Danio rerio: one gene and its partners. The protein of the gene in region 1 interacts with the protein of each later gene in a biochemical or structural test. Links are inferred from orthologs where the notes say so. Each region holds a gene or a part of one and is shown in the gene's direction. Other genes may lie near its edges.

Evidence for each region.
Region 2: the proteins of htr2cl1 (region 1) and lin7c form a complex in vitro, tested with the Homo sapiens proteins (2 studies listed by BioGRID and IntAct, with this or other methods). The link is inferred for Danio rerio from reciprocal best matches to the Homo sapiens genes HTR2C and LIN7C.
Region 3: the proteins of htr2cl1 (region 1) and apba1a form a complex in vitro, tested with the Homo sapiens proteins (2 studies listed by BioGRID and IntAct, with this or other methods). The link is inferred for Danio rerio from reciprocal best matches to the Homo sapiens genes HTR2C and APBA1.

The regions. Positions count from the first base shown.
Region 1 is NC_133182.1:23,475,583-23,478,826, forward strand, and holds the end of htr2cl1 (5-hydroxytryptamine (serotonin) receptor 2C, G protein-coupled-like 1), read left to right. Parts: intron 1-37; coding exon 38-999; 3' UTR 1,000-2,580; downstream 2,581-3,244. UniProt on the Homo sapiens protein: G-protein coupled receptor for 5-hydroxytryptamine (serotonin).
Region 2 is NC_133182.1:31,966,122-31,970,394, reverse strand, and holds the start of lin7c (protein lin-7 homolog C), read left to right. Parts: upstream 1-1,410; 5' UTR 1,411-1,528; coding exon 1,529-1,565; intron 1,566-2,390; coding exon 2,391-2,509; intron 2,510-4,273. UniProt on the Homo sapiens protein: Plays a role in establishing and maintaining the asymmetric distribution of channels and receptors at the plasma membrane of polarized cells.
Region 3 is NC_133180.1:56,845,183-56,847,578, forward strand, and holds part of apba1a (amyloid-beta A4 precursor protein-binding family A member 1), read left to right. Parts: intron 1-1,945; coding exon 1,946-2,086; intron 2,087-2,396. UniProt on the Homo sapiens protein: Putative function in synaptic vesicle exocytosis by binding to Munc18-1, an essential component of the synaptic vesicle exocytotic machinery. May modulate processing of the amyloid-beta precursor protein (APP) and hence formation of APP-beta.

The DNA.
Region 1 (3,244 bases):
CAGGCAGACTCTAACATTCTCTGTTACTTTTCTGCAGGTATCTCAATGCCCATTCCAGTGATTGGACTGAGTAACAGGGAAAAGGTCTTGAAGAATGGCATCTGTGCTCTAAACGAGGAACTCTTCATACTGGTTGGCTCTTTTGTTGCCTTCTTTATTCCTCTGGTCATCATGGTGGTCACATACTGTCTCACCGTCCAAGCACTTCAACGCCAGGCCACAGTCTTCCTCTATGAGGGCAAAGCTTCTTCCCAGCAGCCTTTGCAGCCTCCAGCTCCACCTTCTTCCCAGTTGGTCCCACCCTTGGCTCCATCTCGTCGCAGCAGTCTGAACTGCTTACGGATCAGCAACAGCGATGGAAATACACTCGGTTTGACCGTGCCCCCAGACACTATCTCAATAATCCCAAGTTCAGAAGCGCCATCTCAAATGAATTCACCCGCAGGACGGGACCCAGCTGGAGCTCATGGACGACGGGGGATGATGCAGGCCATCAAGAACGAGCGGCGAGCATCCAAAGTGTTGGGTGTAGTGTTCTTCCTCTTTCTATTCATGTGGTGTCCCTTTTTCATCACTAACGTACTGTACGTCCTCTGCCATAGAACCTGTAAGGAAACTCTACTCACGGAACTGCTCAACGTGTTTGTTTGGGTGGGTTACATCTCATCAGGGGTCAACCCTTTAGTGTACACTTTGTTTAACAAGACCTACCGAAGGGCGTTTTCAAACTATATGCACTGCCAATACAGACACGTAGGGCTTAAACCCATCACTATAAACGTTCCATGTCCATCCCATGCGGTAGTCACACCTATTCTGATGTGTGACAAAGTTTCCATTGACCGGAATAGTAACTGCCGCAATGGGGATGGGAATGGAATCCGAAATCTGGAGACTCTTGATATAGACACTGACACCGGACTGGAGTTGAAACCTGGAATATCAGAGATCTCTATAAGCAGCGGTCACAGTCACACAGAACACACCAGCAGTGTCTGAAAACAGGACAGGGAGTGACCAAGCTTTAAGTGTGGAGATGCTGTGCCCATGAAAAAAAATGTTACTCTGATGAACCGTCTCCTCAACCTCAGCTGTAACACAGCATAGAATGTATGCTGAATTAGCTCCAGAAACAATAATCTGACTGAGGTCAGAAAAGTGAGGGGGAATGTAACATGAACGAGTGTGTGTTTGTTTGTGTTAACAGGTTCAGATGTTTGAATGCCATTAAGTAATGCATGAACACCCAGTCTCTTATCAAAGCAGCACTGGACATTATGAGACTGCAGTCCATGCAAGATAGAGTGATAGCGTCCTCTTGTGGTCGATCGAGTAATTACAAAACAATCTAGTGTGAATCCAAAAAGTCCCTGTCATCCAAGCTAGTTGCATTACAATGGATGAAGCTATGCTGTCTACATACACTTGCAAATCAGATCATTCTTTGTGTAACTTGTAAACATATCCAATGCTACATGCTGAATCCTTTGAGTTGCAGTGAAACAATAATACAATATTCGGGTCATCATGTATTTCCTGCTCTAACAATGTAGAGGAAATGACTGCAGTTCTTTCCTCTGACCCAGAAATCTGGACCAAATTAAATTAGACAAAAGGGTTACATCATACCTATCTTAAAACTTTAAAACAAACATTCAAAAATACTAAAGACACAACAAATATGGCTTTAGTTTTGTTTTTAATGCAGTCCAAATTTGAAGCTTTATTTTTCTTCAGTTTTTATTGTTCAAGGACCGCCCAGAGGCCATCTGACTGACATGTATAGAAACCAATCCCAGTTTGTTTTGTTCCAGGACTTTTAAGGGATCTGAAAATGACAAGAGTAGTATAACTTTAAAAAAGTCTATGCCTGAAAGACTCGTTTGAAATCCCAGGGTTTAGTTGTACTTGTAAGTTCTAATTGTCACTTATATAAACACAATGGCTTTCCATATGAAGATGTATGGCATTATGATGGCTTTTTGTCCAGTTGAACAGTTAAAGAACGAGATGTGCCTCTCATGGAAATCCTGTAGATTTCATATAATTAATTGATGATTTCAAAAGTCTTTCCAGTTTTGTTTTCCATAATCAGCAGATATGCCAGCAATCCGTGGGTGGCCCAAACTGCTTCTCAAGGATAGTTTTTCAGCAGGTATTGAAGTAATTCAGCTCTCCTGTGAATGTAAGGTTTGTTGTGTGCTGCCTCATCAGTTGGTCATGACAGAGCGAGAGAAGAAGCAAAATTGCACAAGAGACATGAGTACTAATATCATTTACTTTATATGGACATTTATTTGGTGTCCATGGCAACAGATGTTGGTCTGCAAGACCAAAAATTATCATTTGAGGATGTCTAGGAACAAACAATGTAAAAAGCTGTAAATTTTTGCTGTTTTCCTGTGTAGAGCCTTAGAATTTCTCCTCTATCACCTACCCTTGCTCAAAGTCCATTTTTATACCATAGCCTGTGAATGTTTACCAGATCCTTTTTTGTTTAAAAAAACATCCTTGCAATGTCATCTTTTTGTGAAGCTGCTATTTATTTAATAAAAGACAATTCTCATTCATTCTGCAGCATACCTCAGGGTGGTAGTCATTGTGTTTTGTCAATTGAAGCATATCCAGCATGCATGTCATTTGTGTACATCTACTGAAAATGGAATCTATTTTTTCCAGGACCATGGACAGCGCCAGATGTGACAATAGACAGGAAATCTTTACACTGCATTGCATTTTTACCCTTTGGTTTAGACCATTTTTACACACACACACAAAAATAGTTAATGGATGATTTGTAACAAAATCATTGTTCTGTGCATGCTATCTCTAGTTTGCAATCTATTTTGGTATTTTGCCTGTACATTTATATATTTATATATATATATATATATATATATATATATATATATATATATATATATATATATATATATATATATATATATATATATATATATATAAAATAAATATTATTATTAATATTATTATTAAATAATATATAATAAATAATATAAAATATTAATTTGGTTGTGTAAACTTTTTAATCAATCAGCCACATTACATTACACATAACGACTCAGTTTATTAAAACTACTTAAAGTGAATGTATTGTCTGATTAATTATTGCCTTATATTATTAATATTATTATATAAAATCTATTATCTATAAATATCTATGAATCTTAATATATTTTATAGCATATTTTACTAAAAACATTGTGCTGGTGTTGTCTTCAAGAAG
Region 2 (4,273 bases), about 8.5 Mb from region 1:
AAACATAATTTGAAAAATATATATAAATAAAAATAAAATAAAAATCTTTCCCCATTTTTTGTTTAATGGAAAGAAGATTTTTTCAACACACTTCTAAACATAATAGTTTTAATAACTCATTTCTAATAACTGATTAATTTTATCTTTGCCATGATGACAGTAAATAATATTTTACTAGATATTTTTCAATACACTTCAATACAGCTTAAAGTGATATTTAAAGGCTTAACAAGGTTAATTTAACTAGGCAATTAGGCAAGTTATTGTATAATGATGGTTTGTTCTGTATATCAAAAAATATATAGCTTAAAGGGGCTAATAATTTTGACCTTAAATTTTATTATTTTTTTAAATAAAAGTTTCTTTTATTCTAGCCAAAATAAGACAAATAAGACTTTCTCCAGAAAAAGATATATTATCAGACATGCTGTAAAACTTTCTTTGCTCTGTTAAACATAATTTGGGAAATATAAAAAAAAAGAAAAAAATACAAAAGTACAACAATTATTTTTGCTTGATAAAAAAAAAAAACGTGCCGTTTGGTCATCAATATTTAATATTTCAAAGTCATATATATGTATTTGTATCCTCTATAAATGTTTTTTCTAAGAAAAATAGTTTTACAAAAATATGTAATTTGTTATCATTAATTACTTCAACAAAATAAACATTTTTAAAGCATTAATTAATCTTAACATTTTTTAGCATTAGCAACAAATAATTTTTATTTAAATAATATATAAGTAAACATATTTCATGTAACTAATATAACAGAACCAACAATGAAAACACAGTCATATATTTCTTGATAGTAATGTGATAACATTGTTAAAGTTTTTTAAATGTATCATCTGATGTCAAAATAACCCAAAAATAATACCCTAAAGTGTGCCTAAAGATTTCTAAAATAAACAGTTGTAGTCTGAATTGTAAAAAAAAAATTTAATAAATAAATAAATAAATAAATCATCATATATAAATGCATTCCTTACCTGGAATAAACTATTCATTCATATGGTTTAAAATGTATGGAAATATTTCTGCCCTTGGATTCTGATTGGCTAATACATTATCCAATTGAGCGTGGGTTATGTTGTTGACCATATATCACTGTATAGCTGCCATAACATTATTTTCTTAACTAGTCCAGTAACATATTACTGACAGTAAAACAGCCCTATTACACGTGTCTACTATCTGAATTGTAATAATTTATGCAGTCAAACTCGATGTCCTAAACAAAATACCAAGTCGAACAGTCCATATTTGCTTTAAATATATTGTTTAATGTTAAAATTATATATAATATATTCCAATTTCATTGAGAAAATCATAATAAAGTCAGTTTGTTATGGTATGCAAAGTGTCTGCGCGGAAGCAACGCAGGAATGACGCTCTTGACGCTCATCCGTAATCTCGGTGCATTAGCCACAACGCTTAAGCTCAGCAAGCTAACAGCAACAAACACAGCCGCCGAGTCGCAACTCTGGAGCTTTCACCAAACGCAAACTCAACAACCAGGGCTATAATGGCCTCTTTAGGAGAACCTGTACGTCTGGAAAGAGGTAAGCCGCGCACCGAGACACTTTCTGCCGTACGTGAAGCAGGATGTTGTGTAAATCACGCTTTTTGTTCTCCCGCTGTCACTTCGTGAGGATGGATTAGTGCTCGACAGAGAGCTAGCATCAATTCACCGTTCGAGATCATACACGTTTTTCTATAAACTAAACTACGTTCACAAAACGTATAAAATGTGCAATACGGACATTTATATGTCGTTAAAGCGGTGAGTTTACGTTCAACGAAAGGAAAACACGAGGGTAGCTGTCAAAAGCGTTAATCTTTTGTGAGCTCTGTTAGCATGGGCACTTCAGGTCAGAGATCAGTGCATCTGAGTATTTCTAGGGGTTAGTAAAGTCTTTCAGTGACGTCCTAATAGTCAGCAACTTATTTTGAGTTTAACTGAAGCTTTAATACACAGTAGAGTTAACTTAGGCTAGTAGATCAGCTAAAACTCTGATTTATGACCGTCTGTTTTTATCTTAATATTTACATGTATCTGTATAAATCAAGAAGAAACCGGTAAGTAGCATTATAATAGTAAATAATTTCATTCTTAAGTTATTTAGTTTTTATTTACAAACATTATTTCTTTTGGGTAGCGTTAAATTATATACTAGTAACGTTACATACAATATATGGCGCAATATTAATAACAACAACAACAACAATAATATTTGTCATAAAGAAAGGATTTGCTAAAATGTTATCTGCGGTCCGTGTTGTTGTTTTATTTATCAGGGAAAGCTGTTTAGCCACAGACAACATCTCCAGATGGCATGATGCAAATGATTATCCATGGTCTTGGTCTTACATATGTTATTCTACAGACATATCTCGTGCCATTGAGCTGCTGGACAAGCTCCAGAGAACAGGGGAAGTGCCACCCCAGAAGCTGCAAGCCCTTCAGAGGGTTTTGCAGAGCGAGTTCTGCAAGGCCGTAAGGGAGGTAAGTGTTCCAACATCACATTCATGCTTTCAAGTTAAATTTAAACGTCTTCTTACAATTTTGAGGGATGTAAACAATAACAACGGTCCTGACATATTTCCGTTTTTTAATTTATTAAAATTTATTTAAATTTCCAAAGATTCTAAGAGTCCAAGATGTTCCACATATTGATAAATAGTGTTACGATAGCTGTTATAACATCAAGTTATGAATAAATTGTCTCGTTACAGGTATAAAATAGTTTGATAACAAGCAGAAAATGTTCATTGGCCAATGACATTACCACATTGAAATGGTCTATAAAATTTCTAGGTTTGAAAACTGGGGATTGTTTTGCATTGGTTACCTTTTTAATGCTACGAATTAACCTTAACAAATCTGTTACAGAATACAGATTCTAATGCTTCAAACTTCATATTACATTAAGCACATTTTCGCTTTTAAGTACGATACTTAAGTAGAGATCTCTCCTTACCCCAGAGAATAAATTATGTCTGCTGCATATAATCCCTTAAACATGTCTCTTATAGCCTCTTATAGGTGTGAACATGTAATGGTCAGAAGCAGATACAGTATATACAAAATCATTGATAAAACATAAACAAATTGGTAAGAAAAATGACAAACAATGCAATTTGTATGCAAATGATGGAGTAGGAATTCAACATGTATAAGTAAAGAAAAAGTTAGAAGTGCATATTTGATGCATAAGAAGATAAAATCCCCACTATAAATCCATTACTTCTTTACTAAAAGGAAATAGGCATATACATTACTGTTTATTGCAGTAAGTATATTACAAGAAGTTATATTATTAAATATTCATGTTAAAATATATATTTATGTAATATTTCCAGACAGGTTTTAGTGAACTTTCAATATTGTCAAAAACACAGAACTTTTAGTTTTTGTTTGTAAAAAGGCCTAAATGCATGCAAGGTCATTCAAATCTTTTTACACATCTCCAACAAACACTTGCAATCGGTTCATGAGATCGGCCAGATCAGAGAGTACCGATTGAGTTATTAAATGCGTTTAATGGCCGATACCGATCTCTGGCTGATCAATCGGAGTATCCCTATAAATAATGTTTATAATGAATGCCTCTAACTATTCTTACATATTTATTTATGTAATGAGCATGTTATAATGTAATAAAAAATTTTGTTTTAAAATTTAGATTTAGGGTTATCGGCAGTCTATTTTACATCGTTCCTGAATTTAATTTGAAAATGGGTCTGATATTCCAGTGTAACTAACCAGACATCAGCATAAAATATATTTATAGCATCTAAATAGGTTATTACAGGTGAGTCTTTAGAAAGCACCATCTATTAGCTTAGAGTGGCTTATGCTTATAAAAGAAAAGTTGTGCATAAAGCCCTATGGATATTTGTCTGCGTTTTATGCAAATGACTAACTCTGGGCATGCAGCTGCTGTTTTTAAAGTACAACCAATTCATTAACATCATAAAAAGGATAACAAATTGATGCCCAAATAAAGTTTTGGTAAGAACTTCTCTTATTTGTATTCTGCTAAGGCGTTATTGGTGAATGAGATCCGCTGTGTGATGCTGAGGGGGAAAAAAAAGTAAGGTGTGATGAATGTGCCAAAGACTGACAGGTTAATAATACAAAAAATTGAGCAGGCGGATGTTGTTTCATCCTCACAAGCTCCTCTCTCTTTTTTTTTGCCCAAGTACTCAGCTCATTTATGCAAGCGGTCGTTATGACTGAAATTGCTCTCATCGCTAATGCTTATGA
Region 3 (2,396 bases), on another chromosome or scaffold:
GTTGCTCCTTTAACTAACCTGGGGCATGTAGTAGGTGTGGGCAATTAAAAATCACACTTGAAAGCTGATAAAAAAGGAGAGAAGTTCACTAAGGCCCCGTTTACACTAATTCGTTTTAGTTTTAAAAAGCACAAGTTTTGCTATGGTTACGCCTCCGTCCACACTACGGCAGATTTTTGGAGCCCCAAAAACAAAGCGTTTTAAAAAAACTGGAAAGGTCGTTTTCATTCTAAAACGCTGCTGCTCCATCTCAGTGTGGATAGGGGAAAACAGAGACATCTGAATACGGAGGCGGGGCTGCAGACATTCACTGATTGGGGCTTTTTCCTCAATATTAAGTAGTAATATTACTACTATTATTAAAGTACTTTCTTAACAATAAAATGAAAACATGATATGAGGAACAGCCTATTTTCAATAGCAACTTAACAGACATCAAATGTGTTGAGGCGTCGTGTAGCTGCATAATATGAGTGTCATCTTCATACATATTTAAAGCAAAACAGAGCTGATAACATAACTTTCATTTTCATTGAAAATATGAAACATACCTCCTTTCACTGAATATCAGTTTTAATAATCAATAATGGCCATTATAAAACGATTTTTTTATGATACAACGTACAATAAGTTTATACAATATAGGAAATAAAGGTAAAGCAATCAGTCACTATGCAGAATCAGTGTATGCGGTTACATTAATTGATATATTAACCCAACTTATCCTTGCACTCAGCCAAAACACCTGAGAACAAGTAATATATTCTGAAGACCAAAGTCGGGGAATATGTCGTTAGATGTAGACAAGAGGATGAATTAAACATCATTATTAACAAATATACTGAGATTAGATCCAGCGGTAGATCCTTGATGAACAGTGCGACGTGCACAGCTCTCATATGGGTATGTCCTCAAAGCATGCTGCAGTCCATTTCAGAGTGTGAGTGTGATAACGTGATGTGCGTTTTCAGCGATTTAATGTAGACCCAGAGCTGTTCAGAAATTCTGGGTGAAACGCTAGTGTGGACGCTGATCGTTTTTATTCTAAAACGCTGTTTTAAAACTAAAACGTATTACTGTAAATGGGGCCTTAGTCTGCATTGTGTATCTGTGTGTGCCACACTAAGCATAGACAACAGAAAGAGGAGAAGAGAACTGTCTGAGGACTTGGGGAACTAAAACTGGGGGAAAATATACACAGTCTCAAGGTTACAGGTCCATCTCCAGAAATCTAGATTTGCCTTCGCCCACAGTGCACAACATTACAAGAAGTTTGCAACCCATGGCACTGTAGCTAATTTCCCTGGGTGTGGATTGAAGAGAAAATATGATATAATTATGTCCAGGCCATTTATGCAGTTTTGTGTGATATTATGTCAAATGTGCTTTTTTCTTTAATTTTTTTTGTTTTGTTCCAATTTACACAAAGAGAATAAACGTGTATGAAGTAGCACATGTTTTAATGCAATCCTTGTAGCATTCAAAATTATTTTTTAATAAAATGTTGTTTATTTGTAATGTAATGGCAAAATAGTTTTGTTTATATAGAATCTTTATTACAGTCCTTTATAATAACCCTTCAAATAAATAAGGTTGATCAGAATTGTATTTCTTGAATGATTATGTTAATGATTTTTTTTTTTTTTTAATAATGAATTTTATGTGAATGTTTCAGATGTGGCATTATTATAGTAACCTAAAATGGACTATACAAATTTTTTTTGTTACTTTTACAAAATAAATGTTATTTAATACATAAATTTATACATTTAAATACATACTATTAAAATATTTATTTCAACTAGTTGAAAACTGAAAGTAAAAGACATGAAAAACGAGAATACAAAAGACTAAAAGAACAAAACATTTAAAAACCTGTATTAAATATTATATTCTGGTCTAAAATGAAAGTTTAATGTTTTTTTTCTTCTTCTTTTCTCTACAGATTTGCAGTCTGATGAGAGGAGGGATAGCAGAACGAGGTGGGGTGCGTGTTGGCCACCGGATCATTGAGATCAATAGTCAAAGTGTTGTGGCCACCCCTCATGAAAAGATTGTACACATTCTGTCCAATGCAGTTGGTGAGGTAAGTCTGGAAAGCAGAAACAAGTCCAAGCTTGCAACTGCCTTACAAAATATTGCTCACATTATTCTTTCTCTAGTGAGCAATAGTCCATCTTATTTTTATAAGAATCATCAAATTATGGACTAAAACTGCACCCTCTTTAGCTGTTTTACGCAGACCAAAAGAAAGGTTTTTGAACTTTTATAAGTATTTTTGTACACACAACCAAAATGAATGCGATTTCTGTATGAAAAGTTCACATTTATGCATCTGAGAGGGAAACTTGAATTAAAATTGATTAAAATATGAGGAATATGTTATATTGGGAAGA